Linked DNA regions of Xenopus tropicalis. The protein of the gene in region 3 interacts with the protein of the main gene of each other region in a pairwise test. Links are inferred from orthologs where the notes say so. Each region holds a gene or a part of one and is shown on either strand. Other genes may lie near its edges.

The links.
Region 1: the proteins of ccdc57 (region 3) and tmem100 interact in binary tests that used the Homo sapiens proteins (3 or more experiments, as listed by UniProt). The two-hybrid records come from large-scale screens. The link is inferred for Xenopus tropicalis from reciprocal best matches to the Homo sapiens genes CCDC57 and TMEM100.
Region 2: the proteins of ccdc57 (region 3) and sfi1 interact in a two-hybrid assay, tested with the Homo sapiens proteins (2 studies listed by BioGRID). The two-hybrid records come from large-scale screens. The link is inferred for Xenopus tropicalis from reciprocal best matches to the Homo sapiens genes CCDC57 and SFI1.

What each region holds. Positions count from the first base shown.
Region 1 is NC_030686.2:25,278,954-25,282,708, reverse strand, and holds the start of tmem100 (transmembrane protein 100), read left to right. Parts: upstream 1-1,281; 5' UTR 1,282-1,349; intron 1,350-1,362; exon of another isoform or gene 1,363-1,465; intron 1,466-3,755. UniProt on the Homo sapiens protein: Plays a role during embryonic arterial endothelium differentiation and vascular morphogenesis through the ACVRL1 receptor-dependent signaling pathway upon stimulation by bone morphogenetic proteins, such as GDF2/BMP9 and BMP10.
Region 2 is NC_030677.2:152,123,788-152,127,442, forward strand, and holds part of sfi1 (protein SFI1 homolog), read left to right. Parts: intron 1-205; coding exon 206-281; intron 282-414; coding exon 415-510; intron 511-592; coding exon 593-669; intron 670-3,392; coding exon 3,393-3,495; intron 3,496-3,569; coding exon 3,570-3,655. UniProt on the Homo sapiens protein: Plays a role in the dynamic structure of centrosome-associated contractile fibers via its interaction with CETN2.
Region 3 is NC_030686.2:27,521,752-27,525,456, reverse strand, and holds the start of ccdc57 (coiled-coil domain-containing protein 57), read left to right. Parts: upstream 1-809; 5' UTR 810-953; intron 954-1,019; exon of another isoform or gene 1,020-1,440; intron 1,441-2,531; 5' UTR 2,532-2,539; coding exon 2,540-2,940; intron 2,941-3,705. UniProt on the Homo sapiens protein: Pleiotropic regulator of centriole duplication, mitosis, and ciliogenesis. Critical interface between centrosome and microtubule-mediated cellular processes. Centriole duplication protein required for recruitment of CEP63, CEP152, and PLK4 to the centrosome.

The DNA.
Region 1 (3,755 bases), about 2.2 Mb from region 3:
GGTCTGCCATATTGCTTACCTCCATATTCTTTATAGCAGGTAACAGAATTGGGGGGAATGCTATAAATAATATTATGAAATAAATGCCATAAATGATATGATGAATGAGCAACAAAATAAACTAAGGCTTGAAGGGGTCAAAACATTTCAGGAGCTTTGGGGTACTGTGATTCACAAGTATACACCACTTCAGTTAAAGGAGAACTAAACCTAAAAATGAAAATGGCTAAAGATGCCATATTTGATATACTGAACTTACTGAACCAACCTAAAGTTTCAGCTTCTCTATAGCGGTAATGATACAGGTCTTTTGAGAGCGGTCTGAGCAGCTGATGAGATGCTAAGCTTAGGGGTTTTTGCAAATTATCAAAAGATTATTACAAAATGAGGTTTGCCTGTCATAGAAGCTGATGCTACAGGGCTGATTATTAAATTCTGGTGCAAATTGCACTGGTTTCAGAGCTGCCATATAATGAGAATCTAAATAAATTAAGTGACAGCAGCGCAAAACATGTGCAGTGAATCAGGAGAAAAGAAGATGGGGAGCTACTGGGGCATCTTTGGAGGCACAGATCTTCCCTACTAAAGGTCTATGGTTGCCTTGGGCTGGTACAGAAACCCAAAATATGTACATTTCTAGCCTACTTCTTTAGTTAAGCTTCAGTTCTCTTTTAAGTTGGGCATTTACAACAAGAGCATATCGCTAGGCAAAGTCTCCAAACCTTTTACTGATTAGGCTACCCAACGTCTGGGCCAAATCGAGGTGATCAAATTATTTGGCAGGTGGGCCAACAATCAGATCATACTAAGAGCCTATGGAAACACGAGAGGATTCAATATACTCAAGTGGCCCTCATCCAACAGGATTTTCTAACCTGCCCAGAAAGATATCTAAATAATTTTTAGGTGTCAATCGAGCTGGCCCCTCATAAAAGCCCCTTACATGGGCCAGAAAACTGCCAATTTGGCCAGAAGGCATCCAGTTAGCAGCTTTTATTAACCTATGTTTGGATCCGTACTATTTAAAATTTAAAAACTCTTTTACATTTTAATTTAGCTGTATTGTACTAGGAACATAACGGGGGATATTTCTAGGGATCTAGAATACAACTTCTTTACAGTGATCTCTAGGCACTGTATGTAGAAAGAACCCAAGCAAGCATTTGCTGGTGAACATACAATGTGTGCCTTTGAAAGCTGAGAATTTTACCCACATCCCTAAGTGGTTTTCTCCTGTACAAGCAGCTGGCAATTAGCTGACGCTCCCTTGCATTGTTATTTGCATCCCCTCACATATTCTTTCTGTACATGTGGCTGGCTCAGTTCAGTTGCAGTCTGGCCATGGAAAGGTAAGGAGCTCCTCTGTTCTCTGACTGCCTCTGACCTATGAACCAGCAAAACACAGGGTCTGGATGTGCATAAATTCGCCTTGTTACTGTATCATTTTCTGCAATGTCATTTGCATGTAAGTTTCCTCTTCTGCTTAGGGAGTTATTTCTTTTATACAAATTAATTAGCCCTGGCAATAGAAAAGCAATAGATAGATATTTGTATAGGTTGTGTGTTTGGTATGAAACTTAAATTAAAGCGCATCCGAAATATTCAGAAATTATACATACATTATATTTATTTTTATATTCTCCAATTCATTTTCTGACTTTTCGTTTCTGTGTGGAGCTTTAATGTTGAGTAGATTTAGAATTTTCTTGAGTTGTATATCCCAATTTAATAGTAAGATGTTTCTAATTGTGCGAGGTATAAGGGCACATTCTTCACGGATTTACGCATCCCTTGGGATGACTGGCTTAACAGAAAATTCTAGAGTATAAGGTTCTGATTTAGATGTAAGAAGTGTTCCGTCTAGTATCTAGATGAACTGACTCGCTGTTATCATCCGCTGTAATTTTTGTTACTTTCTGCAGTAATAATGATTGTTGTGGTTGTTAGAATAATCCCTACAAAATAACTCGCTATGTGTTTTTTTAAAGCATTTTACGTTGATGCCAGCTGATAACATGGCTTTTGATCATGGTGCTTGGGTGGGTTTAAGCATTTATTTGTGATGCACCAGTACCTGGATCCGGGGCAAATCTCAGCACTTTTTGCAGGATTCGGATCTGGCTGAAACTGTAGGTCCATAGCCGAAACAAATCCACATCATGTGCATTTAAAGCACAGGACAGTTAGATAACTGAAGGTGATGATATGATTTATACATGAAAATGCAAATTCGGGTTTGGATTTGATTTGGCTGAATTTATAGTAGAGAATCCAATATTCAGCCAAGTTATATATTTGATGTATTACTGGTATTTTTTTTTAAACTGGAATAGCTTTAATTGAAAACATACAGGTATAGGATCCCTTGGCTTGAAATCAGTTATGCAGAAAGTTCCAAAATATGTCCAAAATAAGGCCAGCTCCCATAGAGTCCATATTAAGAAAATAATTCAATTTGTTTTCAAAATTATTTCCTTTATCTCTGTGATAATCAAATGGCACCTTGTACTTGATGGTAACAAAGGTGCATGAATTCATATTGGTGACACAACAATCCTATTGAGCTTATTTCACGTTTCAATGTTTTTTAGTTAACTTAGGGTATTGTGATCTGAATTATGGAAAAGTCACTTATCCAGCAAATCCCAGGTCCCAAGCATTCTGGATACTGTACCATTCTGGATGTCTGTACCATTAAGTAACAGTTTTCTTCTTTTTCTTTGTATATTTAATGTACATATGTAGAGAGCGAGAGAGAGAGAGAGAGAGAGAGAGAGAGAGAGAGAGAGAAATAAATGTTTGTGAATCTCTCAGCATTGGAAATCGCTCTTATAGTTCTATATTCTAAAGGCGGGCACATTGCTGCTAGAAAAAGTTATGCTACATAAAATATAGCTTGCTTAGAGTAAATAAAGGGAGTTACAATAGGAGGTTTTGTGAGAAAAATCTGATTCCAGAGTCACTGCCCCTTTAAGCCTTGCAGACTGCAGCAGCCCTCTTCGCACATCTGATGAAGAGACGAGAATACCCTGTGCGACAGAAAGGTTGATCTATTAAAAGTTATCATACCTTAACTTAACAAGTTGACGTCTATAGCCTAATAAATACCACACTGTTTCCTGTAACTAGAAACACACCACATCAAACCTGTTACCAACACAATCTTACAACAGGCATATCTTTCAGTAAATGATTACACACAATCTTGTAAAAATTATATGGGCTCCAAATAATAAAATATAATCTGTATTTCCACTAATCGCTAATATTGACTTCAGCTTAAATTTCTAAAATATTATACTGGGGGTCAATGAGAGATTTTACTTTGAAATTGCATCAGATCTGTATATTTTCTATTATTTAAAAAATGACCAGAATACATTTTGCCCTGAGCTGCCTGCACCTACTTGTATCATTACTAGTGCGCAGCAATTCTAAATAAATACAAAATAATAAGTGGCCTGTATTAATTGAGCGGTATCAGAGGTCAAGCTTATAAGGGTGTAAACCTAGCAGCCAATTAGAAAGAATGTATTACACTAATATTCCCTATCAGGACAGGTGGCTTATTCCTCCCTCTGTTGTATTAAATACAGCAGCTAATTAAGATAATGAAGTTGTATTACACCAGCCTCTGTCTGAGAATCTACTCATTTAGTAACTCAGCTTTGAAATGTTTACCTATATGGCTTATTTATGACTGCTACAGGCACAACTGCACCCTTACGCCAATCCCAGAGAACTGAAGTGCTAGG
Region 2 (3,655 bases), on a different chromosome or scaffold from region 3:
TGGGATATGGAAGAAATAAAGTTCAATTAACTTACTGGATGAACAAACAATGCTGGGTTTTTGGATAAGGGAATGACTATCGTTAGTACTGCAACTGATTCAGAACTATCATTGACAGCTGTTGTTTGTAGTCGTGGAAAGGTTTCAGTTATCAGTTTTTGGGTTTCCTATATCTTTACAATGTCCTTACTTGTGTCTGGTTTAGGAGAGCTCGAGAGGAGAAAGCCATACTTCACCACCGTGTGCTTTGCATGCAGAATGCCTGGAACCACTGGAAATGGGTAAGAGAGTGCACAACATCACTCTTACGTCAGTATTTTACTGGAAACAGCTGGAGCTAAATATATCTGTCTATATAATTCCTGTTTTAGAGGCTGATGTATTAACCGGCACCCTAGCAATGTTTTTCTGCAGTTTTTGTTTCAGAGACATGAAAAGTGGAAAAAACAAGTCAGGGCTGATCTACACTACCAGCGCAACTTGCTTGCAAATGTATTTCAGGCATGGAAAGTAAGTTTTCAAGAGCCCTGTAACACACACGTAATGCTTACCAGTTCTCAATGCAAATAATTCTTCATTTTCTCTTTTTCAGCATTATCATATTAGTGTACAGGACATACTGCATCAGGTGAAGGAGAAAGAGAAGCAAAAAAATGAATCTTTCTTGCGGTGAGTTTTCTCCTTCAGTGGCCAAAAAAAAGGCAGTTTAATTTGGGGAGAATACCCTTTTACTATGTAGATATACCTGGAAGCTAGCCTAATTTCGTAAAGTTAGATTTAAGGCTGTCTTGATATTCTTAGAACTATGGCTGAAAAGGCAACATTGACATTCATCTGTAACCTTATTATGTTCTAATGGGGGGTTATAATTGAATGCTGGACAGCAAATGGGAGCTTAAATCGACAAAAAAATCTTTAAAGCAATTACCTAAGGGGGTCAGTAGTGGTAGCTGTAGTTCAACAAATTTAGTATTTTTTTAAATAAAACACTGTCATTTATTAAATGTCACAATAATGTTGGTAGGTTTGAACAAAAATATTAAGTTTATTGTCCAAAAATCACGATTTTTTAAGCCAAGAAATTTGTGAAATTTAAATGGCCGTTCATTTCCATGAATCCTATTTTTTACCTAAACAGTAATTGCTCCAGCAGCTATTTTAGGAGCATTTGCACTCATTCTTGGAAAACAATAATGTGTTCAAGTTTCATTTGAAATTGGGTGAAATAGAGAACAATGATGTGATTAACTTCCCCTTGAAAAATGTGTGAAATGGAAAATAATGATGGGAATAATTTCCTGAGCCTAACTGTTTCTATACAGAACCGTATACAATATTGCCTTCTGTGCTGTCATTAAAGGGCATTGTACATTCTAATCTTGAAACTTGTAGATTGTGTTCAAAAATATTTTTGCTTGTTTTTAGTTACTGTTTAAGTGGGTTTTTAATTTAAGATTAAAATTTACTATGTTGTATACAACTATATTCTAACGCAGATTTTATTGTGTATTTTTATACATTTATTTATTTATTTTTTTTTAAATGATTTAACATTTTTGTTTGCTGTATGATTAGTAAACTTGTTGCTAGGGTCCTAGTGACCCCAACAACCAGACAGTAGGGGGGTAATTTACATTTCCCAGGGGTGTGAGTGCTTGAGCACAAAGGGTGCTAGAGAGCCTTACAAAATGCTGCACTCTGCTCTTTTCAATATAAAAAGCAGAGCACGGAGCAATGAAGCACAGATGAACCCTGCCATAGGACAGGGGCCTGGTTGCGGCCTTCTGCTGCCTAACATTATCTTAATAATGCAGAAGTTAGGTAGTGGGAGAGAGGATGCCTACGTGACTCCACTTACTCACCTCTCATAGATAAAGTGCTGCTTAATGCAGGCGGTACTCTATTTAGAGGGGTTACTCTGATAGGGCCCAGTTGTGGCCTGCACTTCTAGCTGGTACCTAATTTGTGCATCTAAATGATGCTCGGGGGAGGATGCTTGCATGCATCTCCTCCCTCGCCACTCTTGGATAGTGTTGCCCAATGCAATCGGGGCTCTGTTCAAGGGGATAACCACAGATCTCAGTACTCTGAATGGGAGCGCAGAGGCTCGTGGCAGTATGTCTAGAGCTGAAAGCAGTATACAAAAATGTGTTTTGGTTTTTTTGCATCTTGCAACTGTTATATTCTGCAAATGACCCCTAGTCTTGAAAGTATACTGTGTGGGGAAGGGCATATAACAGGAAAACTGCTCCTGGTGTAGTTGCGCAAATTTGCCTGCTGGAGGGAACTTTGCGCAGGTTCAGAAAGCTGAAGCAACGCATAGGTCTTTCCACTGGCGATTCCTACTGTTGCTAATGGAAAGGCATTTCGGAGTAGTTATTCACCCAAGGTATCCTGATCTATCACAGGCGACTAAATTGCTTCCTCAGACATTAGCCTTAAATTGAGCACTTTAAATATCTTAAAATTTGGAACCAGGAGTTTCCCTGTTATTTGTTCTTCCCCACAGAGTATAGTTTTTTAATGCTTATGTGTTAGTCCTGCAAGTTGGTGGGAGCTGCAAACACTAATACAGTGCCAATTGGACTTTTTGTGCTTTTTAAATGACCCCTAGTGTCTTGAATGACAGACTGGAAGATTAAGAGGGGACAGCCTTGAAAAGAAACTTTATTTTAAAATAATGATGATTTTTTGGTGAACATCCTCTTTAATTGCTGTAGTTCTAACAATTTAAACCTATATATTTTTTTGTTTGTATAGAACTCTACAAGTATTTGGCAGATCACACCATGTCATTGGGGAAAAATAATTATCTGCATATGTTAAATTGAATATAGCAAATAATTCACTCTACCATTTAAAAAAAAATTCTTAAACCAACAAATGTATTTTCTTAGTTGTAATATTGGTGTGTAGGCAGCCATCTCAGTGCATTGAGCCTGTGTCTGAGCTTTCAGAAGGAGCCAATGCTACACATTAGAACTGCTTTCAGTTAACCTATTGTTTCTCCAACTCCCATGTAACTGGAGGAGTCCCAAGCCAGACTTGGATTCCTTACTATTGAGTGCTATTCTGATATCTACTGGGAGCTGCTATATTGCTCCTTTCCCATTGTTCTGCTGATCGGCTGCTGGGAGGGAAAGGGAGGGGGGTGATATCATTCCAACTTGCAGCTCAGCAGTAAATTGTGATTGAAGTTTATCATAGCACATGTCACATGGCTGTGGAACCCTGGGAAATGAAGAATATGGCTAGCCCCATGTGACATTTCAAAATTAATAATAATAATAATAATAATAAATATAAAAACAATCTGTTTGTGTTTTGGTTTTTTTTAAATGGATTTCAATGGAAGAAAATGGATTTTGATTCAAGGATTTTTTGCTCTCTAGAGGTGCACTGTGTAGCTGGAGGAATCAAGCATCTGCTCAGGTTCTGGAGAGAAGGCAGGAAAGACTTGCAATTATTCACTACAGGGCTACAACTCAAATAAAGGTAAACTCTCAGAGTGCAGCTTCTTCTCTCTGAACCCATCTTATGTACTATGAGTAACTGAATCCATGTTACAGGTTGTTCGGGCATGGAGAGATTCTGCAGCTGTGCTGGCACATTGTAGGCAGAAAAAGGCAGAGGAAGTGAAAGAGGCAATGCTTTT
Region 3 (3,705 bases):
CTAATATGGCCTTTATCAGTTTCATTTAGTAATTTTACTGGCATGTCTGGGGTTAATATGCCCTTTATCAATTTAATGTAGTCATACTGGCACCTTTATTCTTTTTATTTAGTGATTATACTGACACATCTGGGGCACATAAACTAGGTGCGGCACGTGGGGGCGTGGTCACGAAGCAGGCTTGGCCCAAAAATTTTGCCGCGCTGCATACTTTTCTCCCTCTTTCTCTTACTGAAATGATGGGAGGTATGCAGGTAGTGTGATTATTTCCACAGAACACTGTTAATGCAATTTAATGCAATATGGCATCACTTCTGGGTTGAACGCCAGCAATTAATATTCCTGTTTAATAGCATGCAATGGCGCTTCCTAGTCCTCTCTTTAAAGGACATGAAAAGTCTAATTCACTGGGGGGGAGCCAAAATGTAGAGAACCCCCCAGTGAAATAGCACCAGCCTGGGTAAAAATATAGCAATCTATTTCTCTTGGGGGGGGGGGATCTGCCTAACATTTTAGCCCCCCCCCAGATTTTACATGTCCTTTCACTTCCTACACAGCATTTCCTATTAACATGTAACGCACACAAAAAGACTTTGCCTGACACAAAAACTTTCCCCACCCACTAAAAGTTTTTGTGTTGGGCACCCACTAACATCCCCTCGACATTTTTGCTGCAGCAGGTTAATCATTTTGACTTCCTTCTCCACAGTTATTCAATCACCCCAGCACACCACGCATCCGCCGCCCCCAAAGGTTAGAATACAACGAAAGTGCGCAAGTCTTTATACAGACGCATGCGCAGTGAAAGGCGGTAGAACTGGCCCAGCATGAACCCACCAATGGGGAGAGCGAATTGGTTCCCACAGTAACGCGGATACGTGTTTAGACGCTCTGTTCCTTAATATTACTCCTGTCTTCAGCGAGAGGGCACATTAACTATTGTGGCGCTGAATGTAAGGAGAATGTTCTGTTAATGTATAGTCTGCATGCATTCTGTATTGTGTGCACTTGTGAGAGCGGTCAGGGTGCGGGGCTGAGCGGTATCATTTAATTAATGACTCAAGGAGGGAAAGATGGCCGCTGGGTAAAAGCTAATATTCTGCTGTCACACCATTCTGATTTTTGCCTTCAAATTCTGAGGTTCAGGTGGGGAGCTGTGCCCTACTTATGAACATGGTGAGGTAATTTGGGATTTACATGTCCTTTAATTCCATAAATAGACTCATTTAGACCCACAACACTATTGGGGTGATTTATGGCAAACTGGGGAAAGAAGTTCAGAGCAGTAAGTTGTATAAGTTGAGTGTGAGAGCTTGTTTCTTAGTGCTCATTCAGAAAGCAATTCTTCCTTCCTTCGATTTGCACCTCACAACATATAAACAAAAGGTATTTTGTCCTAATAAAAAAAATGCATTTTGTGGCTTCCCATTTGATGATAGGGTAAGTGTAAAGCTGTGCTATGTGATACTGAAAATTTCTTATGTTCTCTTAATTTTTTATGTTTGAAACAGGGCCGGACTGGGTCACCAGGACACTGGCAAAATACCAGATGGTAACTGGCAGCGGTAAGGCTGATGCCACACCAGGCGTAGGGCTGATTTTTTCGGCAAGCGGAAAAACGCTTGCCGAAAATTCAGCCCTACGCCTGCTACTTGTGCCTGCACCCGAATGAATGGGATACGCTCGGGTGAAGGCACAAGTAGCCGATATACGCATGAAAACGCGAGACTTTGCATTCTCTCGCGTTTTCATGCGTATATCGGCTACTTGTGCCTTCACCCGAGCGTATCCCATTCATTCGGGTGCAGGCACAAGTAGCAGGCGTAGGGCTGAATTTTCGGCAAGCGTTTTTCCGCTTGCCGAAAAAATCAGCCCTACGCCTGGTGTGGCATCAGCCTAAAGGACTAGTGCAGGGGTCCTTGAATTACGGTCTGCGGGCCAGATATGACCCCCTGCTGCCGTGGGCTGTAGTTTTAGGCATAACTGAGTTGCCGGCAGCCTCCTCCTCCATCTACCCCTGTGTTGGCGTTCTGCTCTGCCCAGCGCGTCACCGTGTCACCACATAATACGGTGACATCACCGTGTTACGTGTGACGCGATGACGCGCTGGCCAGAGTAAAACACCAACACAGGGGTAGACCTGCCCCCCAACAGTCTGAGGGACCATGAACCAGTCCCTTGTCCAAAAAGTTTAAGGACCCCTGGACTAGTGCATCGGGGCTGGTTGGACCCTTAACTGAGGTCTTCTAACAATCCCCATTTATGCCAGTCCGACACTGATTTTATTATACTAAAGGTTATTTTTGGATTAGTTTCCACTTTCTAATTTTTCAGCTGTGCTTTATTTACCTATTGGATACAAATTATTTGAATAGGGATTTTTGTATGCTTAAATGGTTGAGAAGAACATACTATGTAATTTAATTGATTGTACCCACTATTACAATACTAGATGCTCTGTGTTAACATAGAAGCACATTCTGACTTACTGAAAATATTAACTTAGATTTATGTACCTCCTACATTCACAGGCTCAAAAATGTTGCCAAAAGAGGAGGAATTTTCTGTTCTTCTGGCTAAAAAAGAACAAGAATGGAGAGAACTTCAGCAGCTACAGGTTCAGTTTTTGGAGATGACTCTGGAAGATACAAAAAAGGAACTTCAAGAACAAAGAGAGAAATTTGCTTCTCTGAAGAAGGACTTCACCCACAATCTCAAGGTGTTGGGAGAGAGGGACCAAGAGCTTGAACAGTTTGAAATGATGTTCAGTCAACTTAAAGTAGTTGAGAGTGAAAAGCAGGCCAGAATCAGTGACTTACGTGTGCAGATTGAGAAACTCCAGCAGCAGATCCAAAAAGAAAAGAAAAAAGTAGAAGACTTACAAAGTCACTATCAGAAAAAACTCAAAGAACAACATCTGCATTTAGAGAGCGTTCGCAGGTACTGCTTTTACCTAAATATGGTTATATTATATAATAACTGCCACACACCTGTTATAAATACTTACACATGCTGTTTTTAAAGGCCATGTGTAAGCAGTTAAAACAGGCATGTGGTAGTTATTTTATTTAATAGTACTACACCATCAGCAACTTTTTATTTTCTTGCAGACCAATAAGAGGGCTGTATATACAAGCTCATCAAAATTGGTACCGTTCTTTTAGGTTTTGCATATAGCAAAAAAAATATTTATATAAAATATATATTTTTTCTGCATACATGTATTACAACTTGTATATGCAGTGCTGTAAATGTCTAACAAGGTATTTTTACCACTGACAAGGATCGTTAGAAAGGTAAGAGGAGAACCATGATGTAGCTTCACCAGTGGAATGAAGTATGTACATTATTAAACGGGAACAGTCAACAGAAACAAATGCCAATAATAAATCTAGGAGGATGAGAATAGAGGCATCATATGGCCTTAGCAACTTGGCTATTGCAATAAGATTGGAAAGGCAGATTGCCAAACTTTTGTCCTGTAAGAAAACACAACACAGTATGATAAAAAAAATTAATTTCATTTCTGATGCCAGTCTTGACACAGGTCTGTTTGAATAAAGAGAAAAAAATTACAGGCAATAGATAAGAATAGTATAGGTGAGTACTGCAGCAGCACAGTTTTAAAAGGGTATCAAGGAAGCAAGTTATGAATGGAGAGGACAAGACTAGCTGAGTGTTTTAGTCAGAAGATCAAAATAATCA